Linked DNA regions of Oryzias latipes. The protein of the gene in region 2 purifies or fractionates together with the protein of the main gene of each other region. This does not show direct contact. Links are inferred from orthologs where the notes say so. Each region holds a gene or a part of one and is shown on either strand. Other genes may lie near its edges.

Region 1 (6,061 bases), on a different chromosome or scaffold from region 2:
GGTTACAAAAGGTTCTCATAAGATCATCCCATTTAAAAATGATGCAGTGATATACATTTTTCTTTATACTTTATACTTTCTTTTTCCCTCACAGGGCTGCACCGACACCTCAGGCTTTGCACAGGCAATGTTTAGCCTCCTCTTACCCCTCGGATATCAACACAACCCTAGTCTTGTCTTGCTGGTTCGGATGCCTGGTAGTGGAGTGTGTGACATCATGTGGCAGCAGCTGACGGCCCTGCTGCAGAGCTTTGCTCAAGGACACACGCTGGTATTACTGCAGGTGTGATGACACGGGTAATATTTCACCTTTTGGGAGGAGAATCAGAGAACAATGTTATTGTTTTTCTCCTTAAGGAGGATGATAAGGCATGTGTGGGCCCAACAGCCTCCATCCTGCTGGGGAACCCTGCTCCTCCATTGGGACAGCTTCCGGCTTCGTTGAAGGAGGATGCTGAAGCTGTGGAGAGACTGAGAAGCAGGCTGCAGGCTGACTGGAACCTTTTGCTGGCAACGGGTGAGAGCACTAAAGAATCTACTTTAATGTCAGGCACATGAGCGGAACATCCCTGCTCTAACTAAACGGTCTCTCCTCTAAATCCAGCACCAGAAAATGGAGGGACTGATGAAGGTTGAAGAATCCCTGCTCCTGTTCTACCCCTACGGCTTCACCCTATCACTACATTCAGCCCTCCTAGCAGAGATACAGGAGAAAAAAATAGTGCCTTCAAATCCGGAAGTTACTACCGCTGGATGACGTCATGAATAGTCGCCAATCCTCTTATGTTGGCGCTCGGAAAATAAATAACATCATTGGTTTTAACTCTCTGAAAAGTCATGCAAAAACAAAAACTCCTTCTCCTTCGCCCCACAAGCACAGCGTGGAACACCCTACTAGCAGAGGGATAGCCAGCCCCGAGTTGCTTTGGTTCCTCCTTAAAAAACATGGTCAGAAACCACTATATCTTCAAATGCCCCTGCAATTGGATCATAATGGAGGAGCCAGAGGGGTAGGGAAGCACTATGGATTCGGCCAAACTCGCACATTTCGGTCCATGAGTCCAATTCATACCTCTGATATTTTTGGAATGCCGTCTGCTTTTTGCTGAAATAAACAGAAACCACAAGTGATTCTGTTCAAATGTTTGTCATAGTATGAAGTAATATTTGTGTCGCTCCATTGAAAACAAACTCAAATTTAAATTCAAAATGTCTTAAATTGATAACAAAATGTTCAGTTTTAAAAACAAAAGTTTCTAAGTAACAAATAAAAATGTGTTGTCTTCAATTTCACTATCTTTCTCTTTGTTTTTGCATTCTCAACTCTGAGGTGACTATGATATACAGCAAGAGCCACCAAACCAGCCAATCACAGACGAGCAGGACTGCTCGCAGATGATTGGGTATTAGACTCACTTTCTCTCCTGGTTCTCATCAATGAAACAAGGCCTATTGGAAATTGAATTCAAATCTTCTGAACCATGAACTCTTTCATTAAGATATAAAAAGAGCAATTGAAAGCTTAATTAAAAATGAGTCATTAGCAAATGACATAACTAAATTGAAGTATGTTAGATATAGGACACAGTGCATTGCTATCTCACATGGTAAAGCTCATGAATCAATACAATAAACAAAAAGAAACTGAAAGTACACTTGCAATAAAATACAGTTAAATGCAAACGATAAACAATAGCTAATCCTTTTATACACTTCTTTGAACAAAATGTTTGTTTTCAAGGTCAAGAGAGCAAAGTGGATAGAGAAGGGTGAAATTTCAGCATATTTTTATAAACTAGAAAGAAAGAGACGAGAACAAAATGTAATTAAAAGCACTTGATTATTGAACACCAAAAATGTACTGATCCTGTGAGAACTTCAAAGGAAACCTTTCATTTTTACAGCAGACTATACTCCTCCTCCTATTGAAAAGCTGATGCTAAAGATCTCTGACTCTATCAAGGAACAATTAAGTGCTTAAGTTATATAAAGCTCCTGGCTCGGATGGCATAACGAGTATCGGTAACTTCTACAAGCACTTCTGGGATAATCTAGGATCTAATCTACAATATGTTAAAACACTCCAATAGACATGATAAAACAAGGGATAATTACCTTAATCCCTTTTCTGGCAAGTCTCCACTTTGTTTCCTGATGGTTCCTGATGATTACTTGATGTGTGATTTGTAGTCATTTCTGGAACAATGCATTGACTTTTTCTAACAACAAATCAAGATTCTCTTGGTTTTGATATTTGATCTGTGATATGTAATAATGAGATTTGAAATAATGCTATGTCTTTTCACATAATTAAAATGTACTTTGTTTTTCTTAATTCTCATGTTTTTCAGATGCCTTCTCCTGCTCCTTTTTAAGCCAATTGCTTTTGATGAATTTAATATTTAATTCCCTTAATGTGTTATGTACAGTATAAGTGTAAAACATCTGCTATAACTGTCAAATAATTAAAAAAAATTATTTTATGCTTATTCTATTGTTCCAAACATGAAGAAACTAAAAATTAAGGTCTACTGTTCGCAATTGTGGTCATCCCATTGACAGGTTTTGAGACATGCTTGCTAACCGCCAGGAGGGGCGCTGGAGAGTCAAAGACGATCCTCTTTCAGCACCGAAGAAGTCAAACGAGAGTCCACATCCGCTAGCTAATCAATCCTTCACAGAGCCGCAACCATGGAAGAGGCAAAAAAGAAAGAGACTAAACAGTCTGAAAAGACTGACGAAAAAGAAAAGGAAAAGGATCAGGGACCACAGTCATCCGGGAAGGATAAAGAAAAGAAAGAGGAGCAAGAATTGGTGCGTTTTTCTTTTTCTGTCATTCAGACTCAGAGATGTGCTAGCTAAGCTAACTCTACAGGAGTCAGCCTCTTATTTGGCTTAGTCACTGCAGGTTAGACAGGCCGACGTAGGCGGCATTTACATACATCAGTCTCGTAACTTAGTGATTATTGTAAACGTTTTAAATACAAATCAAAAAATTCCGCCCACAAGGGTTATAACAAGAATTGATATGAATCTCTAAGTATGGGACACAAGGCTCGTGCTAAGAACCGGTAAGCTAACGTTAGCTTCCAGTTGTTTTGTTCGCTGCCTGCACTGTCATCCAAGTTAGCATTGCTAGCATCTTCAGTTACCCTCACAGTGAGACTCAAAACCAACGTGCCGCCGAACCCAAGCGGATATTTCTTCCTTAAAAGATTCTGTGTTAGTTGTGAAACTTACCGTTCTTTAACTTGTCTGGTATTGGGACATACATAAACAATTATGACACTCAATAATACTAAAAGTGCAGATATTGAGTTAAAGTTGATTAATCAAATAATAGTTACATTTAAAGTTGATGATCAAGAAAATATGAACAGATCTAGCACTGTGGGATTTTTTAAAATCTCATCACGTTTATATAATTTAATTTGTGCTTTGCCACAAAAGAATATCAAGTTTTTATTCTCTGTCACAGACTCTTTTGCACTATGAAGTATAATTAAAAATTGGTAGTGCATATCAATATGTAGTCAAAAGGGGGCCTAAGTCTGGGTCTCCCTGCACATCCAGAATAAAAATCTGTCAGACCACCTGTTTGAATCATTAATAGCTGATTTGCTATGACAACCACTGAAGGCATGTGCCAAAAGGTGAATAATAACCAGGAGTGTAACGATTAATCAATTAGCTAATTTATCCAACCAGATTAATCTGTTTGAGGCAAAGTGTTTGTCAAATTGAAACGACTTAATAAAAAAATTCTAAATGAAATTAATCGATCTATAATGAATTTTGGAAAATACCATATCATACAGTGTGGTAGTATGTTCTAATAATGTTCTGTTTGTATTAATAGCTAATGGATAAACAACCGTGGGCTGAACTTTATGAAACTAAAATGTGAATGGATTTGTTATTCATTCTTGTTTACTTATTGTACACATTTAATTTACAATTGAAAACTTCCCCTGCACCGTTCAGTACCCAGACATTTATCTCTGAGTCACTTGGGTTGAGATTTTGGCTAAAAGATGTCCTTGATGAAATATACCTCAGTGAACTGGATCCAATCGGATTGTTCAAAATGAACCTAAATCGTATCGTCAGTCACAAATTCTGATATAATTCGAATCATTGTTAAAATGAGTTACACTCCTATTAAAAAAATCCTCTTTTGTCATGGCGCTTAAGAAACATCCAAATGTTTAGTATCAACATATGGACTCCTCAACATCACCGCATATGATTGCAAAGTAAAAACAATCCTATAAATGTATTTGGTATCATTTTAATGTCTTTATTTTGGTAAATTGATTAAAATGAGAACACAGCTTTGCTTTTGAAGGGTTTCCAATCAAAACAAAATCATCTTTGTAGTTGAGTTTTTTTCAGCAGCACAATACATTTATTCCTCTAGAAGTACAGATATATTCTTTTACCAACTCTTGAGGCAAAAACAAAGGCTTGTCAGCCAGTGTGGGTGATGGAGAACAGCATGTCTGTTTCGGGTTTTTGTGATCATTTTTAGTGATTTATTTTTTCTTCTTTTTAGTCAGAGGAAGACAAACAGTTACAGGAAGATCTGGAAATGATGGTGGAGAGGCTGAGTGTAAGTTCTGAACAGGCTCAACTTTCTTTTGTCTGTTACAATCTGATCATTCTTGCGAACGCGATAACTCTCGTTTGAACCTGAACAGGAGAAGAACACAGCTTTGTATCGTCCTGCGCTGGAGGAGCTGCGAAGACTAATCCGCTCCTCAACCACCTCCATGACCTCAGTACCAAAGCCCTTGAAGTTTCTGCGCCCCCACTATGCCAAGCTTAAAGAAATCTACGACAGCATGGCTTCTGGGGAAAACAAAGTAAACCTCTATCCGGCCTGAGAACTGAAATATGTCTTTCTTCCATCTTGAGTTTACATGCACTAAAGTGAACTTTTCTTTTCAACATTTGCAGCATTTTTGTGCTGATGTGGTGTCGGTGCTTGCCATGACCATGAGCGGTGAGAGAGAGTGTTTAAAGTATCGCCTGCTGGGTTCTCAAGAAGAGTTGGCATCATGGGGTCATGAGTATGTCAGGTAAATGAATGAAGTCGGACTACCTCACTGTAACAGTCCAAATGTCGTATTATAAGTCTACAATATAACGTGTTTGGGGTTTTTTTTGTCGTTGCTTGCTTCTATCTAAAAGTTTTCTGCGTCTTTCAGGCATCTTGCTGGAGAGGTGGCTAAGGAGTGGCAGGAGGTGGAGGAGAATGATAAAACCCAGCAGGAGACGCTGTTGAAACTTGTTAAGGAAATCGTGCCCTACAACATGGCTCACAATGCAGAGCACGAGGCCTGCGACCTCTTAATGGAAATCGAGAGGCTGGACATGCTGGAGGATTACATAGATGAAAACGCTTATGGCAAAGTCTGCCTTTATCTGACCAGGTTTGTGCAGAATCATACTTGGAGCAAATAAACCAATGGTTGTATTCTTGTGTAATTTCTAGAGCAAAGTGTGGATAAAGTTTGAGTCAAGTACAAACATTTGAATTCTGACTTGTTTTCTTCAGCTGTGTCAGTTACGTTCCCGAGCCAGAAAACTCAGCACTCCTTAGATCTGCCTTGAACATCTTCAGAAGGTTTAACCGTTTTCCAGAGGCTCTCCGTCTGGCTCTGATGCTTAACGATGTGGAGCTGGTAGAAAACATCTTCACGTCCTGCAAAGACATGTAAGTTCTGTAGAGCTCCGCTGCTCCTGAGGATTACTGCACAGTTGTCTTCCGGCTCACAGTTGATGTTGCTCTTTCTAAAACGTACCCCTGGCTCTTTTTGACTTTGCAGAGTCATCCAGAAACAGATGGCCTTCATGCTGGGACGCCATGGCATGTTCCTCGAGCTGAACGAAGACGTAGAGGACTATGAGGACTTAACAGAGATCATGTCTAACGTTCAGCTCAACAGCAACTTCTTGGCCCTGGCCCGAGAGGTAGGAAAGAGAGGATTGCTCTACTTCTAGTAGTAATAGATGACTGCAGTTATTGATCTGTAAAGACCCGAGACAGCTGTAAATG
Region 2 (5,892 bases):
GTCCTCGTCCTCGTTGTGCTCCACGTCCAGGTCGCCTCCCAGCACGTTTGCATAGTAAACTATCTTCAAGCACTTGGTGGACGCCACAACCGCGTCGTCGTCGTTCACCAGGTTCCGGCTGTTGAACTCGTTGCTGATCACCTTGTAGGTGATGAGCTGCTGGAAGGTCTCCATCATGCGGCGGATCTGCTCGGCGCTGTAGTGCGACCAGAGGCGGGCCAGCTTGGCCTGAGCGGCCAGTGGCAGTTTGCTCATGGCCTTACAGAACTGAGGCAGCGCGATCTCCAGGTACTCTGGACTGTGGAGGTTGCTGTTCTCCATCACTATAACAAACAGATTCAGATAGTTCGGGTCCCGTGAGTACACGTTGTGGTACGTCAGGTCGCACTCCACGTTGGGGGAGAGGTAAACCAGTGCGTTCAGGAAGGCGGCCTCTATCTTCTCGTTGGACAGGAGGCGCTCGTAGACGCGCCGCACGGCTTCAATGTCCACCGAGACCTCGTCCGGCGCCAGCTTCTGGACGTCGTTGTCTCCCGAGGAACCCTCGCCCGGCCGCGTCGACGAGGACGGGGAGTCCTCCTCCATGGCCGTAGCGGAGCACGCCGCTGCCTCCTTCTCGTCCTCGTCCTTGTCCTCGTCCTTGCCCTGGAGGGACTTCAGCTCCTCCTTGGTGTGGGGTTTGGACCGCCGGAAGCTCTGCACCAGCCCCTCGGCGCTGGAGAAGACCCGGCCGATTACTCGGATCAGCGGGGAGTAATCCTCCTTCTCCCCGCACATGCCCAAGATCTCGTACACCTTCTCCTCCGTCAGGTAAGATACATCTACGCGAAAAACAGAGCGGGTGAAACCGGTAGAACAGCCTTCCCGACAAGACTTCACCGGTCGGAACACGAAACCGGAACTTTGGGCTCAAGCTCACCTTTAAAATTTTCCCGTAGCGTGTGCGCCTCCTTGTGGTTCACCTGCTGGTCGCTGGAGGCAGAGTTGCTGTGCGTGCTGCTCTCCAGGTAGGTGGAGGCGGTGCCTTTCTTGGAAGGGTGCGGGTCACAGAGCTTGGCGTTGACCTTGTAGAGCTCCAGCGCCTTGACCGCCGCCGCGTTGTTGTCCATGCGCGTGAATCCCACCGAGGAGGCACACCAGGGGTTGGAGCAGCACTCATTCCCACAGCCTTCCGTTAACTGGTGGTAATAGCGCTCTATTAGATGTTTGGCGGCTGCTCGCTTCCTGCGTTCAGAGGAAAAAATCAGAGATTTCGGATGTGAACAATACTTTGATTGACAGCAGATACATTCACATTCTGCCGTGGCGCTCGTCTTCTATCAAAGGAGACATCGGCCGCGTCTTCAGGCCATGGAGCGGCGAGCTCCTAGTGAATGAATAATGGACACAATGCTATGTGAGATAAGTAGGACCCAATAACCGTTATCGTTAGTACAGGAAGTACAAAAACCATGTCATTGTGTGAGGACACAGGGTCTCCAGAGGTTAAGTAGATCTGAACACATTCTGTTCAGGAGACACAGCACAGGCCAGATTTATTGACGAGGTCAACAGCCAATCAGGAAGCAGAACACAATGCACTGAACTCATAAATATTTTAGAAGCACGCTGAAAACAAAAACAAAAATCAGCAAAGCATCAAGACCGCGAGGGACCTCCAACACGCTGAAGACGTTTGACCACGTCCTGGTCCAGACGTTATGAAACGCTCCACACAAATGTCGGTGGATCGAGACACGCTTCGTGCACGCGTGTACCTCAGCACATGTTCTTATTATAAACCGGATGCTTCGCCTGGACACCAAAACCGATAGTTTTTCTGCCTCATTTGTACACATTAAAAATAAATCTGTTTACGTTCACTCCAGGCTCTGAAACACTCCTACCGACCACTTCCAAGAAGTCTATGGGCATTTTGGGCTTCCGTGTTCAAAACTCCTGCGTTCTTAAGCTAAAGAAAGCTGATTGGAGAGTTGTTGGTTCCATTTTTGGACAGTTTTTATAACAACAGATCTTTCTACCAAAACGTTGGGCGTTCAGTAACGGTTCTGGTGACCCCTGACCGATTCATTTACACCCAATCGTACTACACTTCTATAGGACCACGAAGGGACAGAACCTGGTTTATGTTTAAGCTCCTCTAAACGGAACCAGAACAGCATTCTAAGTTTGACATAACTGTTGGTTATTCTAGGACAGGAAATGCAGAAGTAAGAAATATCAGACAAGCAGATTTCTGTTTAAAGAACACAATAATCAGCACTAGAGGAAATTTTCAGTATCGAAAGTAAAAGCTCCTGTTAGAAACATCGATAAGTGGGAAAACTACAGCAGTTTCTGGTTCTACTGCAGCTTTTGAGGCCCAACATGGAATCAAAGACGTCCAAAGATGTCGTCCAAAGATGTTCTGAGCGATCGCCCGCCCCTGAACCCCGGACGCCCAAAATGCCTCAAAAACGGCGTCTGAACTTCAGAGAACGTTTCAGCGTCCACAGCAGGACGCATAACAGAGCGGCCCCTAGCACATCTCGGGTACAATACAGAATTCCTGACGCTATCAGCGTCTTCAAAAAGCAACGGCTCAATTCTTTCTAGTAAAAACGTAATAAATCCGAAGTGTTAGTCGTGAAAGCAAACAGCCCTTTGATGAACGCACACAGACGTGGGGAACCACAGGAACAGACGGACACAGAACGGACATCCAGACGGCTCTGGGCGCTCGTTGGGGACTTACATTCGGCTTGCTTCTGGGTTTTCTACGTCAGGCTCCTCGTGTTCTCTGAAGGAACAAGAAAGAACAGATCACACATATGAAACGGGTTTGGACCGCGGCGTTTACATGCACCCCACTGACAAAAACCCTAAAAACGTCCACCGATTTGTGGCTTCGTTAACAAGAAGCCAGGCACTGAAGGATGTGCAGGTGGAGCCATGAGGGTCTTTCCCACATTCCTGGAGGCTTGGACAAAAGTTCCAGCCTGATGTTTCTGCGGGGGGGATCCAGATGGAGATGATGGGATGTGGTTCTGGCTCTGCAGACCTGCTCCCAGACTGACAGGAGGACCACAGCAAGCCTCCCAGTGTGACATGACAACAGCCCGTGCGTTGGTAGAGATGTTCCCCTTTAGAGGACGCAGTCTGCGGGCTGCAAACAGCAGCAGGAAGCGTGTTGTTAGCTCCACGGAGTCAGGGTGCAGCAGGTGGAGAACCCCCCGCACAAAGACCGGGTCCCTGTTTGAGGCTGGAACCAATCCAGTCTTGGAGGGACTTTCAGCGGAAAACGTCGCAGACTGCAGGTTTCTGCCTGGCGTGACTGAGCAGGCTAATGCTGTAGCAAACATTAGCAGGCCCGCCGGCCGTTTTTTAGTTTCATTTCACGCGCTTCCTACTTTAAAAACGTCGTATTAAACGTTTCGTGATTGAATTAAAATAAATTCAAAGCTGCTCGAAGTGTTGTCTAAACAGATTCAGCGAAAACGCGGAGCTCCCGCGCGGCTAACAGCGGGGAGCTAGCTAAGCTCCCGACATGCCCGGCAATCCCCGACTCTTTCCTGCCCGCGTGCCCACCTGTCAGCTCCGCTCGCCGGGCTGGTCTGGGCCTGTGGTGCCGCACACTCACAGTCCTCCTTCTCGTCGGGATTCATACGAGGCTTTCTCCCCGGCGGTTCCTCTGCGGCTGCGGGTGGCTTCGCTCGGTCCTCTGCGGTCGGTGAGCGCCCTCAACAGCACGGAGGTTTCAGAGCAACGCGGAGGCGGTCCAAGCGGGTCCACAACCGAGCTCGATTCACGGCCTTCTTCCTGCAGGTTCGATCCTCCTCCGGAGAGCTGCAGCCATGTTGACTCTGCCGTCAGCCAGCGTCCCACAATGCTCCGCGCCGCTGCCTGAGCGCGTGCCGGCCTGGATCGTTACTGAGCGGGAACGGGACTCGAACAGGACAGCAAGAAATGAAGAGTTCATCTCATTAAAATGAAATGAATCCAAATTAATTATGTATTTCTAACCAATTTAATGTAATCTGTTTATTTTTCTTAAAATTAATTTAATTCAATTCTTCCAAATCCTCATCGTGTTAAGGTCTTAAATTGAGCCTTTTTGAACATTAATATAAATTCATTTAAAAAAAATTTAATTAAAAAAAAATATATATATATCTATATATATCTATATCTATATCTATATATATCTATATCTATATATATATATATATATATATATATATATATATATATATATATATATATATATATATATATATATATATATATATATATAGATATAGATATAGATATATAGATAGATATAGATATAGATATAGATATAGATATAGATATAAACAGTTGTCAAAGTCTGAGACCCTAGATCTGGAAGCCAAAACCTCAAAGACCAGAACCACAGAAGTCTGCTTTCAGGCGCCCTCTACAGGCTGCAGCCAGAACTGTCAGCCAGTGATGGAGGCGTTTTGGTTCTGTATAAAAGCAGAGTCACACAGCCACTACGGGCATTTTGCGCATTTTCCACGTATAAAAGTTTGGTCTTTCGTGATTTAAGCGTGATCATTTTTGTCATTCATCAACATTTGCAGATGTCCACTGAAGGTTTCAACCGATGAGTCTTTACGTGAATACAGCACACATATCACGTTCAAATACGTAGTTGACGCACAAATTACTAATGAATTGTATATTAACAGACAATAATCATGTTTGGTTCATGTTCTTTGTTGGTTTACGAGTTCTTTGTTGGTTTATTCGTACTTCTTCCGCGGTTTTAACCTGGTTCATTCGTGATACATTTATGAAAATTTCACGTAAAGACCACAACTTTTCTCATTTTTTCCACGTTTATTCACCATCCATGCAAACTGTGAGAAGAGAAACCCTCTGGCTTGTTCAAATATATTTGACAATAGTTATTAATTGTCCGTTGGCAAACATCGGTTTCATAAAGCGTGTTTTTTTTTAATCAGAAATTTTCCAAAAAAAGCTCCTATTTTGTCACCGACTGCTGTCGTTGTTTAACCTTGAAGATTTGACAAACAACAACAAACTATGCGCTACTTGGAAGAAAAAAACAATCAGTTAAGTACACACACACACACTATAATACACTTAAACCAACCATAACACCAATACACACATAAACACAACCACAACACCCCAGCAGACACACATACACCAATACACACACTACCAGACAAACACCAACAAAAACACATACCAGCACACACACAAATACACCCCCACACCCCCAACAGACACACTATTAAACATACAACACAGACACATACACACAGAACCCACAGATTGATTGACAGTCAAATAAAGCTTTATTTCAAATCAGAAGTTACACGTTACAGAAGATCTGGACCGCCACGGTTCCTCAACATCTCCTCAGATCCAGCTGGAAGGTTCTCTGCAGGCTGGCGATGCTGGCGTCCAGAGCCGCCAGGCCGTCCCTGAACGCCGCCTCGTCCCTGGTGTCAAAGGTGGAGGAGGACCTGGCGCTCCAGGCCGACCACAAGGAGGCGGAGTCACAGAGAGACGGGGAGCGGAGGCGCCGCGCACACCCGCCCACCAGGTCTGTGCTCTCTCTGTCGCTTTGACCGGACCCGCCTCCAGGAGGAGGTGACCTGAGCCCTGTCTGCACGTGCTCAGTGCAGGGCTCCGCCTGCCTCAGAGAGTGGAGGAAGCCTTTGATCCGGTCGGTGGGAGTGTCCGCGGCGCTCTGAAGGAGGCTGGAACAGCAGAAGACATGAAGCGACCGTGAAGCGACGGCTTTTGGAACCGAAGTTCTCCACTCAGGGAAACCCAAACCTCTGCAGCTTCTCCATCTCCTTCAGGCGGTGCTGGGCGAGCGAGGCCAGCTCACTGTTGACTCTCTCGCCGTCCAGC
Region 3 (5,873 bases), on a different chromosome or scaffold from region 2:
CTGATCTGTCAAATGGAAATGGGCCTGACCTAATCTTTACAGGGGAAAAAAAAAGATCCACCCTCAGTGATCAGGTGGCTCTAGTTCGCCACAGTCACAATCAAAACTATCCTCCATTTTACTTGAGTAAAACCTGAAACAAAAGAAAGAGAATCGGACAACACTGTTAGAAAAGAACATGAGGACATCATTCCTACAGTCTGACACAAACACTCATTCGTCTTTTCTTAAGCTAGTGCCAAAACAGCCAACCGCCTCGATCACCGGATTTCTTTTAGACATGAATGTCGTAAAAGAGGCTGGCCCCTCCCCTACCCGGCGTGGGCGCTAGCTAGTCCGGTTTCCAAGATTAGGTAAATTTAAGAAGGGTCTGAAAAAACCCACAAACGTTTCATTAAATACAGTAAATCCAGAATATATACAGCCCCATAGGTTTACGACTAATCAATCTCCTTTATAACAAACTCATTTCACCATTTTCACCAGGCCAAAAAAGCGCCCGGCGGAATAGAGACACGACTAGCGAAGTGACAAGCCGCTAAGCGGCTTTGTCGATTAGGAATGATAAAATAGTAAACCTAATAATCCCAACTGATACAATATTAAGTACACAGAATCAAGTAATAAGACAAACATTTTCGACAAATAACCCATAAATATCAGACAAATCATGAAGCAGAAACCGTCGGCTAGCGTGAACAAAGGAGCCGTTGTTGGCGGAGGCTTTTGACTACGTGGTACGGCTTTTCCATCGCTTAGTAACACAAAGCCGACCTCGGTTTAAACGCTCAAAAATAGAACATAGAGTGTCAGAAAATCATACACATGGTATTAATAGTAATCGACATAATGTATGTTACTTACAGTACGTATTCGCAGCATTTTTCCGGTTACTATTTTAAGCTAAACGAGAGCAGGTTCGCGTGCGCTTCGCTCCCCAAGCTCTGCGGATCTACTGCAATCGCCATTCAGGCTGACTTAGAAAGGCGGGGATGACGTCACTATGGTGCATTTAGGGGCAGTGGGTAAAAAAGGCACTTGATAGATGAGTCGTCAGTATTCTTTTTTTATTTGCCGCAAATCTGAGCAATTACAGACTATTGCAAAAACATTTATTTGTAAGGCAATATAAAGTTATAAAAAGAAGCTGATTTAGAATGTATTTCTAGTTAAAGTAAAGATGTTGTGTATAAAACGTAATTTTACAATTACAACCCCCAAATAAATACAGTATGCACCACTCAGTCTGTGTTAGAGCCGGTAAACTCGTGTTTGCGTGATATAGCTCCGTTTGAGTATTATTGAAATATGACTGGATTAATCTTGTAATATCATTTTCTGAAATGAAATTATAGCTAATTTACATGAATTAAATATTTGTTGCTTCTTCTATGCAAAACGTGGGCAAATGTGTTTTGAGCAGCACCTGAAAGCAGCAGGAGCCATTCACACCGTTTGTCTGGAGTAGATCAGCGGTAGTTTTAAAATTTAGCTCAACGATGCAAGATTTGTGAATGAAATCGTTGATCTGCACACATTATAGTTTAACTTTATAGTGTAAAAAATCCAAATGAATAAATAAGCAAAGCCAAACGTCACCAGGGGCATCACTGGAAAACATATTTAGTCCACCAGAAGAATAATGAAAATCAAAAAGGGCTCAAAGAGAGTAAAGAAAAAAGCATGCATTGTATTCTTTAGAAATTTTAAAGTATTTAAAAATCATATTAATTTTTTAAATAAGGGTCTTCCCACATATTTGGTCTTTAAATGTCCCGAGTTTTAAAAACAAACAAACAATAACATCTATAAAATGTAAAAAGATTACATAATTTGGTTGTTCTCCTGTTTTTTTTCATTTAACTTGTTTGATTTAGCATTATAGTCCAGGGTATTTGCTTTGTCCTTTGGTCGATATTAATGCTATTTCCAGATTATAGCACAAGTATTGCATTAGTCTTGTCAGTGAGAAAAATCCTTGGCTGGTGTCACTCACTGTAGCTTGCGGATTTAGAAAGTCCGAACCTGTCCCTCCTTTAACCTACAAGGCTTATAGGCATCCCATGCTAAATAAGAAAGGAAAGACCACTCGTCTGTGTTCTTTTATGAAATCCTGTGTGGTCCGCAGTCTGTGGATGCTATGGATGTCTGCGTGGACTGGTGGGCGTGCAAGCAGCCACCATCCAGCTGCATCAGACTCCAGTCACATCCGCAGGCAGACCATGTGAGAACCCATGTGCCTGGCAATGCAGATGCCTCTTACAGGCCGGGATGGGCTATGCGATGGAGGAGTGAAAGTGCATGCGGAGTAAACGTGGCGCGGCAGAGGATGAGAGACTCCCTGTATGAATACATCCATCCTGTTCTCCAGGTGATCTTAATATTCATTTAGATATTTTGACTTACCAGCAAATAACTGCAGTATATTTTTTAAAAAGGTAACAGAGAAGGGAAGTGAAATGAATGCAGCATGGGCTTAGCACTCAGCAGTTTTCTGTTTTCCATCATTTACAGGCCTGTGGTCTGCAGAACACTGAATATATTTTTTCTGATTAAACTTTTAAACTATTTGCACTTTTCCACCCATATGAAGTATTCTTCCATCAGAGGGAATTCATGTGATTCCATTCTCTGATATTTAGCCCACATTCACAGGAATCGCAAACTGAAAGAAATGCAACATTTATACCTTAGAATTAGATTAGTTAGATAAGGTGCTTATCTTTTCTCCATTTGCCCTGCGCATGCTGGACATCCAAACTTAAAAGCTTGAAAGTTTCAGCCTGCATTGTTTTTCAGTCACATGAATTTTCTTTCTTTCTTGATAAAATTATGTCTTTTCTGAGAATCAATATTGTCTCCCAATCAGCGTGGGCAGCCGACCTCTGGAGTTACATCAAGATACAAACAGTTGACATGGCCCAACACATAAGAGGCATCTATTTTTGCCACTTAGTGACGAAGAGAGTAATCTCTAACTCCTAAAGAGACTCTGTTGCAGTCAGAAGTCTTGTTTATTGGACAGACAACATCTAATACGGCCCACAAAGACATGCACATCATTGTTGTGTCATGTTAATAAACATGTAATTAACACACAGCCACCTCAGGAGTGTATCAGTTCTTCTCCCAAGGCCTCCACCTTATCTCTTTTGTGCTTCATCTGTTTTCTTGATTTGTGGTTATCTCCTTACAAACACAAAGACTTGGTGAACTTTGGCTTTATCAATTTAAAAAAAAAAAACTACTTACTGGGACTGAAGTTCTCCAGGGACAACCACATGATTAAAAAAAAAAGTCAATATTCCAACCAAGACAGTAAATCCAGTGTAGGAAAAGTTAGTCCAAAATAATCAGAGTTGCAATGCAGTCCAGTGTCAATATAAATGTACTCTCAGAGACTCAACTGAGTGTTATCCTACTCCATGTGTCTCTAGTTGTGAGGTGGAGCTCCATGGGAAGTTAATATATGCTCAGCAGGGCAGGGGAGGAGACTGCTCTGTGTATGGCTTGTCCCTGGGTTAGATCTACTTTCAGCTTCTGCCACATCTTCCCCTGTCTCACTCTGCTACACCTCGTCTCATCGCCCTTTCAACTTTCTCAAAGGTTTAAGTCTTTTCTGTTCCTGAATAGATTTTTTAAAAAAATGGGGCAATTCTTCAGAACCTTGAATGTGCTGAAAGCCTGTAGAATCCTAATGTTTGCATTTTATTTTTTTGTAATATTCCAGTAAAAAAAAAAGATTTTTAAACCACCTTGCTCTAAAAAGAAAATACTTGATAAACCTTCATCTTGTCACATGCAGGTGCACTGTTTTAAATATTTTTCATTAGCCATTGAACAGAGAATGCAGATCATCTGCACAGTATGACACTTTGATGGGTTTGTGTTCTGAGGGCGAGTGTCCATGCTTTACTGCCTGCTTTAATGCTCAGCACCAACAGGGGGTTCATGAAGTAGGGAATTTATGAAAAGTCATGCAACAGCAGTTTGTTCCCTTTCCTCTTTCTCTGCTGTACAAATCAGATTTAAGCACCCCCCCCCCCATTCCACCACCTCCACCTCCCACCAAAACAGACTTAGCACACTCTCTGACAAACGTCCGTAAGCTGTGCTCTGCCTGTTAGACTGGCCCTTCTGGCATATCTCCTCAGTCATGTTTTTGCAGCAGGGCCTGGCACCTCCAGAGGTGGCTGTGTTTGGGCTTTAGGGAGATGTGTGCATGCACATTTGTTTGATATTTATACCAGACTTTACCAAGCTGTATGTTACCAAAACATTTGGTGAAGGGATGTCTGAGAACAAATGTGGGTTTTTTTACTTTCAGTGCCTTTTTCATTTTTTTTTTCTTGAGATGTTTATTAAAGACACAGTATAAACCAGGCTTTAAATACTGGCTGTGGTTAATTTGTTAGTCACTGTTTAAAGTGCATGAGAACATCAGAGGAATTGTACCTATGATTAAAGAAGCAACAGTACCTGCCTGCTGATCAGCAGTTAATTGGTTCTTAGTGAGCTCTGATGCTTTAGTTTCTTCCCAGACGAGTTCTGCAGTTACATAACCCTCGGTCTTCCAGGGCCTGAAGTTAAAGTACAGAACGGACCAGAAATGAGAACGTTTTTGTGTGGTCCTGTGAGTAATTGTCTCTGCATACCCTCTTTTGCTTTGATTAAACTTGAGTGCTTTAAAAGGTTGCAAGGGAAGTATTGCTACAGAGGGGAAGCATGCAAGTGTAAAAACCACTCAGTGATTCAATCAAAGGGAAGCCACAATTAAAGGAGTCAGATTGATGACTGGATAACTTCCAATCTAGACTGAAATGTCCAACTCAGAGCTGATTTGAAGTTTCCTCTCATTTCCATACACTCCTAGATTTTTCCTCTCCTTTTGTTTCAGTGATACGATCAGTGCAAAGCAGAGAAACCACCTCTGTCTGACTATTAAATCAGTGTCCACGTGGTTTCTCATATGAGTGTTGGAAAGGTTCACAGCAAGGGACAGTGTCAGTAGGCTGTAACAGTATCATTATGCAACATGCAACTCTGCCACCACTGACCTGGAAACAGCTTGTTGGCTCCTCTCAATCATTGTATAATTTAACTGGCTCTGGGATGAGACCAGCATCCACAAAATGTGATAAAAAGATAGGATTTAAAAAAAAAAAGATAGTAACCTCACAATATGATTAAAAGCAGGCAAAATAACACAACTCATGTTCTTAAAAAGCAATGTTCTCCCCAGAATGATAGCAGAATGTAATAAAAACCCTGCACAGGAAGACCTTTAAATACCCACTCAGAGGAAAACTGTGTTTTTGGTGTTTTTAACGTGTTCCTGAAGCATTTTCTCACGATGGAGGACATCAAAAGAAAATTAAGATAAACACTAAATTTCTGAGTATTTCTTTATTAAAGTTGTGGTGAATCAGGAGCAGACAAAAATTGCCATTGGGAAAAGCCTATTGCAGAGACTTGGGTGAAACAGTCTGCAGGTAAAATGTTCCCTTCTCCTCTCCATTCTGATGCATCCACTTGCAGACAAATAGATCCTTTAACATCTTTGTTTTCCTCATATGAGCTGACATCTGCCTTAAAACTATATGGCTGGATAGCTCGCCATTTTTGTTGCACCACTAATGTTAGGTTGGGGGTGTGAAAGGCTGTGAGCTGGTGGGAGAGCATGTAAACAACAGAATGATGGGAAATGAGGGCAGGCGTATTGCACCCCAACAGTCCCGCCCACAACGTAGTGGCAAATTTCTAATCTACCCCTGCTGCTCTGCGGAAACTATGTCCTAGAAAACGACACAGGTTTTTTGATTTTGCCTAAAAACGACATCGTCCTAATTGAAAGACCACTGGGAATGCTTTCA

Evidence for each region.
Region 1: the proteins of ubiquitin-protein ligase E3A (region 2) and psmd2 purify together in Homo sapiens (affinity purification with mass spectrometry; 4 studies listed by BioGRID and IntAct, with this or other methods). This does not show direct contact. The link is inferred for Oryzias latipes from reciprocal best matches to the Homo sapiens genes UBE3A and PSMD2.
Region 3: the proteins of ubiquitin-protein ligase E3A (region 2) and mapk6 purify together in Homo sapiens (affinity purification with mass spectrometry; 3 studies listed by BioGRID and IntAct, with this or other methods). This does not show direct contact. The link is inferred for Oryzias latipes from reciprocal best matches to the Homo sapiens genes UBE3A and MAPK6.

What each region holds. Positions count from the first base shown.
Region 1 is NC_019871.2:18,699,151-18,705,211, forward strand, and holds the start of psmd2 (26S proteasome non-ATPase regulatory subunit 2), read left to right. Parts: upstream 1-2,625; 5' UTR 2,626-2,691; coding exon 2,692-2,814; intron 2,815-4,555; coding exon 4,556-4,612; intron 4,613-4,700; coding exon 4,701-4,865; intron 4,866-4,959; coding exon 4,960-5,081; intron 5,082-5,210; coding exon 5,211-5,435; intron 5,436-5,560; coding exon 5,561-5,719; intron 5,720-5,831; coding exon 5,832-5,976; intron 5,977-6,061. Other genes in the region: hdac10 (histone deacetylase 10), read left to right, coding at 95-283, 358-517, 605-636. UniProt on the Homo sapiens protein: Component of the 26S proteasome, a multiprotein complex involved in the ATP-dependent degradation of ubiquitinated proteins.
Region 2 is NC_019860.2:926,458-932,349, forward strand, and holds the start of ubiquitin-protein ligase E3A, read right to left. Parts: upstream 3,920-5,892; 5' UTR 3,645-3,919; coding exon 3,568-3,644; intron 2,780-3,567; coding exon 2,735-2,779; intron 1,225-2,734; coding exon 920-1,224; intron 822-919; coding exon 1-821. Other genes in the region: RNA polymerase II degradation factor 1, read right to left, coding at 5,381-5,735, 5,815-5,892. UniProt on the Homo sapiens protein: E3 ubiquitin-protein ligase which accepts ubiquitin from an E2 ubiquitin-conjugating enzyme in the form of a thioester and transfers it to its substrates.
Region 3 is NC_019861.2:13,629,231-13,635,103, reverse strand, and holds the start of mapk6 (mitogen-activated protein kinase 6), read right to left. Parts: upstream 3,437-5,873; 5' UTR 3,253-3,436; intron 1,043-3,252; exon of another isoform or gene 865-1,042; intron 134-864; 5' UTR 1-133. UniProt on the Homo sapiens protein: Atypical MAPK protein. Phosphorylates microtubule-associated protein 2 (MAP2) and MAPKAPK5.